Tribolium castaneum: one gene and its partners. Each later gene encodes a partner of the first gene's protein in a complex. Links are inferred from orthologs where the notes say so. Each region holds a gene or a part of one and is shown in the gene's direction. Other genes may lie near its edges.

Region 1 (3,312 bases):
AAATACTATTCTACTTGAACATGGATACATGACATCTATTGGATAACTAAAGGTTACGGAAAACAAAATAAAAAATAATAAAATCATATAAACTAAAGATTAGTTTGAAAGATCCTAATCATGATATTTATGTCTTAAGGAAAATTGATTAAGCAATTAATAAAGTAAAACCGCGTCTTCTATCGAAGATTATAAAATAATAGAGGTAAAAAATTAAACAGATTTAAAATTTAAACGACTGAAAAAACGAGAGAAAGAAGTCGAGACACAAGCCAAACATTCATATTACGTAAAAAAAAGTGAAGATATGATCGAAGATTTAAATAAAATTTGATCATTTAGAACTTGTTGATTAAAAAATGGCCTTTATTGCAAATATGAAAGTTTCTGACATTGTAGAAAAAAGGAATGACCGAAATAAAGGTAAAATCGGATGGAGTGTTGTGTATATCTGTATTTTTGTATTTTCTATTGTGCTCGCGTTTTCGTGTTTCTGGATGCAATCCTTCATCAAAGAATTCAAGGCTTGCACATTTTAGTGTTTTATAGAAAATGGGTTATATTTTCAGCTTTTCTAGCTACACCCATTGCTAAGATTTTATTTAACTGCGCGTATGATTATTAATTATTATCTGAAAAGTAGGTGATTTTTTTGTTTTTTCATATTTTTTATTGTTCTTACAGATAAAATAGACATGTACAGCACTTATGTTTCGTATAAAATAATTACAAATTCATTAAAACAGACAAAAGAGGATCACAGAAAATAACAACATTGCATGGTTTGACGAAGACACATTTAACAGCGCCTGAGTTACCCTGAAAAAAGTTGGTAACTCGACACATTTCATCGGTCAAGTTTGTTTTAGGAGCTGTTAAATTGTAATTAAGCACTGGAATACGCCAAATCAAAGTTAATTTTGTTTTACCGTTAAACATTTTATTTGTTCAAGAGGCACCGCACTGTGCGGTGTTGAAATTTCACAAGCCTTTTCCTTAAAAAAGTTAATTGTTTTTGGCGCAATTTCGAGAAATTGTTGCATTTATTGCTGAAAAACATGTCTAAATTTTCGAAAAAATTGGGGTTTTTCTAAAATGGGCTGAAACATTAAGAAACAGAAGTAATGCATTTTTTGACATAAAATGGTGGTTTCTTTTCTAAAAAGGATAAAATTAACGCCACTTTAATGTAATTTTAACTAAAAATTGACTTAAAAAAGGGGAAATTCAGCAATTTTTTCGAATAATTTTTGACCCAAAATAATCACGTTTCTGACTGACACTTGAAATCAGAAAAATAATCTCATTTTTGATCTTATTTCGGCCCGGTTAATATACTTACATGCTTAAAAAACAAAAAGATAACACTCCTTTAGACATAACTTGGTGATTTTTTGGGTTTTTTATCGAACTAATAATTCCGGTTTTTGCTGAAAATGGTTCTAAATTTCTTTGAACACACGAAAATGACGTTTTTATCTAATTTAGGATTTTTTTTTGGATATGTTTATCAAAATATTACAGGAAAACTATGGATCAAAAAGCAAAAATAACACTTTGGCGATTTTTTGAATGATCTTAAACAACGCCTTGTGAAACAAAAACGTTCCAGACTAAAAAATGCACTGAATAACTAATTTTTCGTCCTTTTTTGTTGAAATTTAGCAAAAAACTTTATTTTACAATACAAGTATAAATTTTAAAAAATGTTAAAAAAATAATAACTCAGGTTGATGTTATTATGTTTTTTTTTTATAGATTCCGACACAAAAACATACAAATTTTAATTCATCTAAATCCTCTTAAAGTTAATCTAACTTAATTTACTTACAAGGACCTTTTTCGTTTATATTGAAAATTGGTCTACTTCGTGAACGATTTTGAGAATTAAATATTTTCATTTCAAAATCATTATCGGAGAATTTTTCTTTTCAGGTTATTGGATTTGGTCGTTCCAAGGAAAAATCCTGAAACGTGTTAATTTGGAAAAATTCGCCCAGTTGTTGTGGCGTCCACGACCTGCAACTTTATTGTCTGAAGAAAAGCAGAAAGAAATCAAAAAGAACCTCAAAAAGTATTATCCACAGTTTGAGAGCAAAGACAGAATGAGACAATCGAAAGCTTCAAAGGAACTTATCGAAAAACGTGCCGCTTTAATGAAGGAGTTTAACGAATACAGAAGTAAAAGGATTAAGGAATATAACGAGAATAAGCAAAGACGACTTCAACTTAGAAATAGTGAGTGTTTTAATTTGATTTTGTAGTTGTTAGTTACCCTGATTTTTTGCTGACACGCTGATTTGTAGTGTGGTTAGTTATACGCTCAGGGGAAATTAAAACATGTTTTTGCGTTCAGTTACAGTTTATTTAACTGCAAAAACATGTGACAATGTTTAATTCTAATTGTTTTGCAGTTTTTTTAACGCTTGATTTTTTCCAGATATTGATACCGATGAATTAGATGCCGACCCACAAAACGTAGAAGAAGAAATTGTAGAATTCTTTATTAAAGAGGAAACAACCATTTTGGACTAAGACAATTGAGGTTGAAGTGTTGGTTCCTGTGTGCATTCAACGTGTGCACGGGATTTATAGTGACTGTGAATTCATAAACAGCCTTAAATAAGAAAATTTACACCAATTTGTTGTGTTTTATCTTATTTAGTAGGTTCTCGTTCAATCTTTTTCTGTTGTCAGCTGCCATTATATTTTAATTTTTTATTCTATTTAGGTGGGTCAATTTTAACCATGTACGATACTAATCTCAACTGTCTGTTGGTTATTTGGAAAATAAATTTTCATATGACAAATGTTTTTTTTTCTCTTCCTAAACTCACCACAAGTGGCGACATCTAGCCTTTTCGTAACTTTATGATTTGTTGTCTAAGGACTATATAAAATTCTAGGTTCGTTCCAGCAGTGTTGTCATCAATTTTCTCATATACAAGTCTATAAAAATGTCAGCAGAAGTAGGGTCACTATGATTTACTAAGCAGTGGTGCATTGCTGCCAATATAAAAATGCTGTATCAAGTTGTCGGTGTGATCCGGGACACGTGCTGCTAAAGAAAATAATAAAACAAAATACATAAAAGGTTGATCGGTTTTATTGCGCGTAAAAGATACTTTTGGATACACGATATCCTTGTGTTGCACGATTTCGGAAAAATGTGTTTGTGGTGCGAGTTTGAGTGGTGGAAAATCGATGCGATTTGTTGTAAAATTGAATTTTGGCTGAAATTGTGATACATGGGGATGGAGGCATGACAGTATAAGCAGCACGTTTTTTATGCGCTTTTGTGAATTGGATGTA
Region 2 (3,463 bases), on another chromosome or scaffold:
TTTTTCATTACAAATTGACGCAATTGTATGTAAATATTTAGAGTATTGTGTTATTTTACAATAAAATTCTTGTTCAGATTTTAATTGGAGTTTTTTTTATTAAGCAAGCAAAAACTTTGGCTTTAACTTTTAAAATGTGCGACTTGATATAAAGGTAAGTTAAAGTTGGATTAAATCTTTAGTTTCTTTGTTTTTTATTACACCCTGTACATATTTCGAAAAAAAGTGTTTATCCCCATTTTGTTTCTTTAGTTTACAGTTGCTGAAATCAGTAGGACGCGTTCTTGCAAAAATTAACAAAGTCGCTACACGGGTAGGAGATTGAAAAAATAAAGTTTGAAAAGTCAAGGAGTTTTCAAAAAAGAAAAAAAGAAAAAAAATTCAATAAGATTACAAGGAATATTTGTCCCCACTTCATTTTTTTACAAGCCAAGGCCCTACTGGAGCGCTTTATTACTAGCAAAAATATTTATTATTTACACGGTAAAAGCGTTGCGAAAATTAAGTTCTAAAATTCAAAATAATTTTGAAAATAAAAAGAAAAAATCTGTTAGGTTTTAAAGAGTGTTTACCTCCACTTGATTGTTTTACAGTCGAACACTATCCAAGAGCTTTATTTCCTGCAATAATAAACAAAATTGCAGTACGGAAAGCCGGTTGAAAAAAATGAAGTTTAAAAAGTAAAACATTTGCAAAAAAACAAAAGAAAAACATTCAGTAAGCAGAATGTTTGTCATCAATTAATTTTTTTACAGTCGAAAGTCTCATGGCTAGGCTATATATTCCTTGCAGAATTGAACAAAATCAATAAATGGGAAGGGGGTTAAAAAATAATGTTTGAAAAATTAAAATATTTTCCAAAAAAAAAAGAAAAAAAAATAGGTAAGGCCCCAGGGAATATTTATCCACACTTAATTTTTTTTACAATCAAATTCCCATCATCAGGCTTTGCTTCCTACAAAAATTAAAACACGAAAAGGGAGTTGAAAAAATAAAGTTTAAAAAGTTGAGATAAAAAAAAGATTGTAAGGTCCCAAGGTCTTAAATTAATGGCTCTACTTAATTTTTTTACTGCCAAAAGCCCTTTATTTCATACAAAAATAAACAAAATCGCTACAATGAAATATTATTTTAAAAGATTAAGTTTGTAAAGATAATAATTAAAAAAAAAAATCAGTAAAGGCCCAAAGAGTTTTTAATCAATAATCACAGTTAATTTTATTACATATTTTTCCCAACTGCTAAAAATTGCCAAAATGGCAATAACGCCATTTATCAGTTAATTTTGACAATACGGTTATTTCACCTGAGCCGGCACTGACTTAACCCCGCCACTGCACAACCCACCATGACAGTTAATTTTGACACCTCTTCTGTCAAACAACCGTCAAAAAAAGCGTGTTTAATCATTAAAATCCTTAAAAAAACGCCCAGTTTTTTAACAAAATGGTAAGTAACGACTCACAATCAATCGAAAAAAACGCCCCACAACCGTAAAACATTACATTACCCCACAATTTCACCCACATATTGTTCGCTTAAATTTAACCTCAAAACCCCCACAGAAACCCCTTCTACTCCACGGCCACGAACGTGCCATCACCCAAATCAAGTACAACCGTGAGGGCGACCTCCTCTTCTCCTCCTCAAAGGACAACAAACCCAACGTTTGGTACTCCCTTAATGGCGAGAGGTTGGGAACCTTCAACGGCCACCAGGGGGCTGTCTGGTGCATCGACGTCGACTGGACCACCACTAGGTTAATAATAATAATAAATTTATTGCTGCAATAAAGCAAATGGGTGCGCGATAAGGTTGCCTCAGTAGCGAATATACAGGGTGCCTCACCTAATACTTTTGAGCCTGATATCTCAGTTATTTGTCAACGTATTTTTATGAAAATTAAAATGCAGATATTTAGGAAAGTAAAGATTAAAATCCAATTAATGCAAAAACTGAAGTCTTAAAATCGTAATTTTAAAATTAAAATTAATAAAACAGATATTAATCTCGAAAGTTTTAGGTGAGACACCCTGTACAAGTTTTGATTAATTTGCTTTTACTGATTTAATCAAATACTACTTAGACCAGAAATATCACCTATTTTGCTACTTTTTAAACTATTTAAACTTTATAGGTTCCTGTCAGGTGCCGGTGACAACACCCTTAAAGTATGGGACTGTGAAACGGGCAAAGAAATCGGGAACATCTCAACCAATTCATCAGTCCGAACGTGTCTGTTTAGCTACTCGGGCAACATGGCAGTGTACACCACCGACAAAGCCCTCAAACACAACTGCGAGATCTTCATTATTGACGTCCGTAACGTGGACGAAAGCATCTCGCACGCCGACCCCATTTTACGCATCCCGATTAAAGGTTCCCGTGTTTCGTCAATCCTATGGGATAACCTGGACGAAACTATAATAACCGGGCACGAAAACGGGGATTTGATCAAGTGGGACTTGAAGTCAGGCAAAGAGATCAGTTCAACACGTGAACACGAACATTTAATCAACGATATGCAGTGGAATAAAGACGGGACAATGTTTGTGACAGCGTCCAAAGACCACACAGCTAAACTGTTCGACGCTGCTGATTTGATGTTACTGAAGACTTACAAGACAGAACGGCCGGTTAATTCAGCTGCCATTAGCCCCATTTTTGAGCATGTGGTTGTGGGCGGAGGGCAAGATGCCATGGATGTGACAACCACGTCGGCAAGGGTTGGGAAATTTGACTCGAGGTTTTTCCATATGGTGTTTGAAGAAGAGTTTGGGAGGGTTAAAGGGCATTTTGGGCCGATTAATAGTGTGGCGTTTCATCCAGATGGCAAGAGTTATAGTTCAGGAGGTGAAGATGGTTATGTGAGAGTGCATAATTTCGATTCGTCATATTTTGAGTATAATTTCGATTATTAAATGGATAGCTGGTATTAATAAATTTTTTAATAAAACAGTTTGGTTGTTTTTGTTCCTAGATTACGTCCAAGTCTAAGTTTTCGGAGCAATGATTTTAAATAATGATTATACAGGTGCTCCATAACTTTTTTTCTATGCAAGCTATCAAGTTGAATTTTTTTGAAACGCTAGGTTTACTATTGTAAGACTTATTAGGCACGTTCTAAAAATATTTTAATCTGTATACAGAGTATTCCAAAATAAAATACCTAACTATGTTCTGTTTTTTTTTAACAAAAACCCGGATTTTATGGATTTATCTGTCATAGCTTTTTGACTTTTTGACAGAAAATACACAAATAAAGCCCTTGTTAATGTGTTTTTCGTTCGTTTGAAACTGAAATTTAATTACGAAAATAATTTTGGTAAATTTTATTCCGGCGCTTCCAACTTGTGAAATGTAACTAAAACATTCGAAAAAGCAAAAATAATGAAATTTTCAGCTCCGTATTACTGCATTTAGTTACGTTTTGTGTTTTTTGAGACTGAAAAATTACTAACCT
Region 3 (4,132 bases), on another chromosome or scaffold:
TTTTCAACCTCTTTTGCACAAGATTTATACAAAATTTTGCCAACAGGAAGGCAAGACAAAGCTTAGTTTCATTTTTTTTCCACAAGTTTTAATCAAAATTTGAAATGCAAAGCATTTCGACACTAATGGGTACATTTTGTACAGTTGGTTGCAAATGCGTTCCAACACTCTTTTGATCATTTTCGTGAGCATAAAAATGTTTGTTTACCATTCGGCAAAATGTTCAAGTTTGTATGACGCTTTTTACGTTCGTTTTGTGTTTCGCAGTTCGCTCTTGGCATAGGCTCTTGGTCACTCACATGGCAACATGCGCTTTTGGTTCCTCACAGTAAAAACACGTGCCAAATGTTTGTAGAATACGTTTTCTACAACTATACAGCTAATACTAATGCGTTTTGCCTTAGAAATCTTCTGCACTGACAGCAGTGTGACAACACTTAACCTTAGAACTGTCAGAATTGTTTTACTTTATAGTGGCTCCCTCTCAGAAACAAAAATATGCCATGGAACTAAGCAATGCGGCCAGCCGTGTGAAGGGAAAGTTCCTTCATTAATCAAGGAAGCTGTGCTCACTGAAATAGGATTTACTGATGATGCGGATAGATGGCCTTAGTGTTTTACGGGAAAAAGAAATCCTATTGGCGGATTTAAAATTTCATATTACTGAAGAAAAACGTGGTACCGATGCGCGGCTGACAAGTAAAAATTTCACAAACGTCAGCAAAATTTGAGTTTATTTTTTATATCACGTTAATTTTTCAAAGTTTTATTAAGATAGTGGTTCAAGGTGTCGTGTTTGGGTTAGACTATTGCCTACTATCGGTTAGGAACAACATGATCTCCAAGAATATAACGTAGTAATGAGCTCCAGAAGGTTTTCATTGATAGGTGCGTTTTTTCCAAAAGTGAGTTTTTTGAGAGCGAACCGCAAGTGAGTCACACTGTGAGGAGATTCCCATAGACAGAAGTTGCTAACATAAGGTGCCAGTTTGGCTGATTGCAAGTATGTCTTTATCATCGATGCGGTGACGACTATTAGTTTTGTAAACTTAATGGATTTAATAAATATCTTTAATATTAAATGTGTTTAGATCGTGTCATGTTGGGTAAAATTCTTCTATTTGTGCTGTTTGTGCATCCACCTTTTCAAATACAATTAGAAAATTTTCATAATAATTGTATTTGATAAGGTTTTGACATCATTTTGACGTGAGCAAAAATTTAAAAAATACAAAGTAATCGGGATTATTTAATTCGCGCCATTTTTAGTACGTGATGATGCGGCTAGATGGCTCCAGCTAGGAATTCATTGCCAACCATTATGTTCCGCTTCTATAAAAGTGTTATTCTAGGGTGCCGCCATATGTGTCACATTTTATAAAATCTTGTTAGTTTTTGCATAAAAACGGTATAAAATGGCCCAATTTGATTTAACTTCCCGCATGGGGCAATATTTGGATCGGCACTTGGTGTTTCCATTGTTGGAATTTTTGTCGGCTAAAGAGGTACAGTTTTTGAGGTTATGTTCATTCGGTTGATTCCGAATTTCGTAGATTTACGATGAAACGGAATTGCTTAAAGCCAAATTAGATATTTTGAGCAAGACCAACATGATCGATTATGCTATTGACATCCGAAAGCAGCTGTATCCAAATGAAGAAGTTCCTGAAGATCTGAAGCAAAGGCGTCAACACGTTGTAGCTCAGTTACAGGAGCTTCAACAGGAAGTGCAACCAATTTTGAAGATTATGGCCGACGATGAGGTCATGAAGAATATGGAAAACATGAGGGATTCGAAAACTTTGATTAATTTCCTTTCAAAGGATTACAAAGTAAATACAATGTGTTCAAAAATGGTTGTTCACCCAGTCGACTATGGAAGTCAAAAACAATGTTCCGCTTCGTTCAAATCATTATTGTAGTGTTTGAATACTCTCATCTCTGTCAAATCTTAGCTTTTTACTCACTTTTTTGCATTTCTCAAGTGTGGGGTTTGCCGTCATTTGTGTTTTACATCTCGGTGAAATTTGTTGTGTACTCTTTCGTTTTTAGATTTGAAGTTTTTTTGCATTAATTTGACGGTTTTGTCGCTTTTGACGGCATTCACAATTTAAATTAAGTGGCACATTACGTTCAAATTTCATAAGTGACTTGCAATGAACAATCATTTCTGAATAGTGTGTTTGGACGAATACATTTTTGCAAAGAAAATGCACGTCAAGCTAATGAATGTTTATTTTAAAAAAAGAAGGATAAATTGAAGAAATACCTTTATTTGTAACTTATGACCTACTTAAACACTACTTTAAAACACTATATTTAACATGAAATTAAAACAAAGAAAAATAGGAATGATATTTGACAATTAATTGTTTGAACAAAAAAAAGATAGATTTTTTTGTAATTTCAATCTTTATTGGCTTCAATGACGACTCAACTTAGCGCTGGCATACTTTTAACGAATCCCTTACAAAATTCTGGCGTTTTATTGTTCCAAATATGTTCTATTTTATTTTTTAAATCTTTCAACAACTATTGAGGAAGATTTGTAGGATACCTTTTTACTTTGTGCCAAAAAGACTCAATGATATTTAAATCAGAGCTGTTTGCTAGCCACTCAATAAACTGACGTGGAAGTGTTATTGATGTTAACGAAAATATTTAATATAATGTTTTAATTTTTCTGATATGATATTAGTTAAGCAAATAATAATAATAGGTATTTATAAAATACAAAATATAAAAACTTGATTAATCGAAATTTAATTAATTCTGCAGTGTCTTTCTGGATCAACGGCGTATAATGCTATAAGCAAAAAATTCTTAAGAAAAATTTTTACGAACTTTTTGCACAAAACATTTAAGTATTTCAGGTGTTCTAAAATAACATAAGAAATAATAACTTTTGCAGCGTTTTAATATCATGTAATTTGATTGCGATTTTATGCAATTAATGAATTAGTAATTGTTAAAAAAAATAAAAAAACAATAAACTGCCAAGGAAGTTTTATTGATGTTACGAAAATATTTAATATTCAAAAAAATTATTTAATTCTACTAGTATTAGAAGTTGTTACCATTTAATTAATAAAATAAAAAAAAACTGTGGGTCGGTCTACAGACAGCGAAATTAAAATTTAATTCCGAATTAGACTAATTCGAGTTTAAGTTGTCATTTAAAATGCATTGGCAAATGTCAAGTTAATCACTAATAAAAATTTTATTGTAATTGAAATATTCTGTAAACTTCTTTGTTTAATTTAATTTCGCAGTTGGCAAGTAAGGTATAATCCTGCTTTTTCCGTAAATTTGTGCTAATGCGAGAAGGGTTAGCTGGTTTGATCTTCCGGTGATTTCCGGGGCAAATTGTTCAGTCAGTTACAGAATTTGTTATCACTTATAATGCAACAAAAATTAATGAAAACTTAAAAGCAATTAAAGAATGTTGGCATATTAATTAGTCACACAAAAATCAGTGTTTTCTATTAAATACTTAATTTTTTTCTCAAAGATTTTTTTTTATTTTTTTTTACATTTCCTTAAATAAACATGAATTACTAAAAATTATGTTAATAAAATTGAAAATATTATTCCGTGTAATTAATTAATTATTAATTTTATAATTTCAATAGTGTCTTTTAAATGAATGATATTTTAAGCAAAAAATTCTTAATAAAATTGTTGCTAACCTCAAAATTTCGATTTATTAAATTTTAATATTTTATACAATGTGTTTTTAAATGATTCTCATCCAGTTAACTTTGAAATTGGTTTACATGTAAAAAATTGTGCCGCTTTGCTCAATTGAATCCTCTGTTAATAAATGTAAAGTCTGTCAGTTGGCAAATTCATTTAATTTGTTTTAAAAACTTCGTTAAAATGTAACTAAATTATTATACCGTGCAAGAAAACACTTTTATTTTTTAAGCTTACTTTATATTTGGAGCCTTAATAAATGGAGAATGGTAATATTCGATGTCTAAATGCCTATCATTATTTATATGAAGCGGTATTTTCTGATTTTACTGTAGAAATTCACAGACGACTAGATGAGAATTATTTAAAAACACATTGTATTATTTATTAATATTTATTTTATTTTTTAATTAATTAAGGGCCAGTTTTATAATCG

What was found. The genes of interacting proteins can lie anywhere in the genome.
Region 2: eIF3b (region 1) and eIF3i share a complex: the UniProt entries of both Drosophila melanogaster proteins name them as parts of the eukaryotic translation initiation factor 3 (eIF-3) complex. The link is inferred for Tribolium castaneum from reciprocal best matches to the Drosophila melanogaster genes eIF3b and eIF3i.
Region 3: eIF3b (region 1) and eIF3e share a complex: the UniProt entries of both Drosophila melanogaster proteins name them as parts of the eukaryotic translation initiation factor 3 (eIF-3) complex. The link is inferred for Tribolium castaneum from reciprocal best matches to the Drosophila melanogaster genes eIF3b and eIF3e.

The regions. Positions count from the first base shown.
Region 1 is NC_087399.1:10,630,213-10,633,524, forward strand, and holds the end of eIF3b (eukaryotic translation initiation factor 3 subunit B), read left to right. Parts: intron 1-1,935; coding exon 1,936-2,238; intron 2,239-2,440; coding exon 2,441-2,535; 3' UTR 2,536-2,810; downstream 2,811-3,312. UniProt on the Drosophila melanogaster protein: RNA-binding component of the eukaryotic translation initiation factor 3 (eIF-3) complex, which is involved in protein synthesis of a specialized repertoire of mRNAs and, together with other initiation factors, stimulates binding of mRNA and methionyl-tRNAi to the 40S ribosome.
Region 2 is NC_087394.1:748,466-751,928, reverse strand, and holds eIF3i (eukaryotic translation initiation factor 3 subunit I), read left to right. Parts: upstream 1-1,321; 5' UTR 1,322-1,446; coding exon 1,447-1,449; intron 1,450-1,565; coding exon 1,566-1,759; intron 1,760-2,137; coding exon 2,138-2,921; 3' UTR 2,922-2,958; downstream 2,959-3,463. UniProt on the Drosophila melanogaster protein: Component of the eukaryotic translation initiation factor 3 (eIF-3) complex, which is involved in protein synthesis of a specialized repertoire of mRNAs and, together with other initiation factors, stimulates binding of mRNA and methionyl-tRNAi to the 40S ribosome.
Region 3 is NC_087394.1:22,552,406-22,556,537, forward strand, and holds the start of eIF3e (eukaryotic translation initiation factor 3 subunit E), read left to right. Parts: upstream 1-1,327; 5' UTR 1,328-1,415; coding exon 1,416-1,505; intron 1,506-1,553; coding exon 1,554-1,832; intron 1,833-4,132. UniProt on the Drosophila melanogaster protein: Component of the eukaryotic translation initiation factor 3 (eIF-3) complex, which is involved in protein synthesis of a specialized repertoire of mRNAs and, together with other initiation factors, stimulates binding of mRNA and methionyl-tRNAi to the 40S ribosome.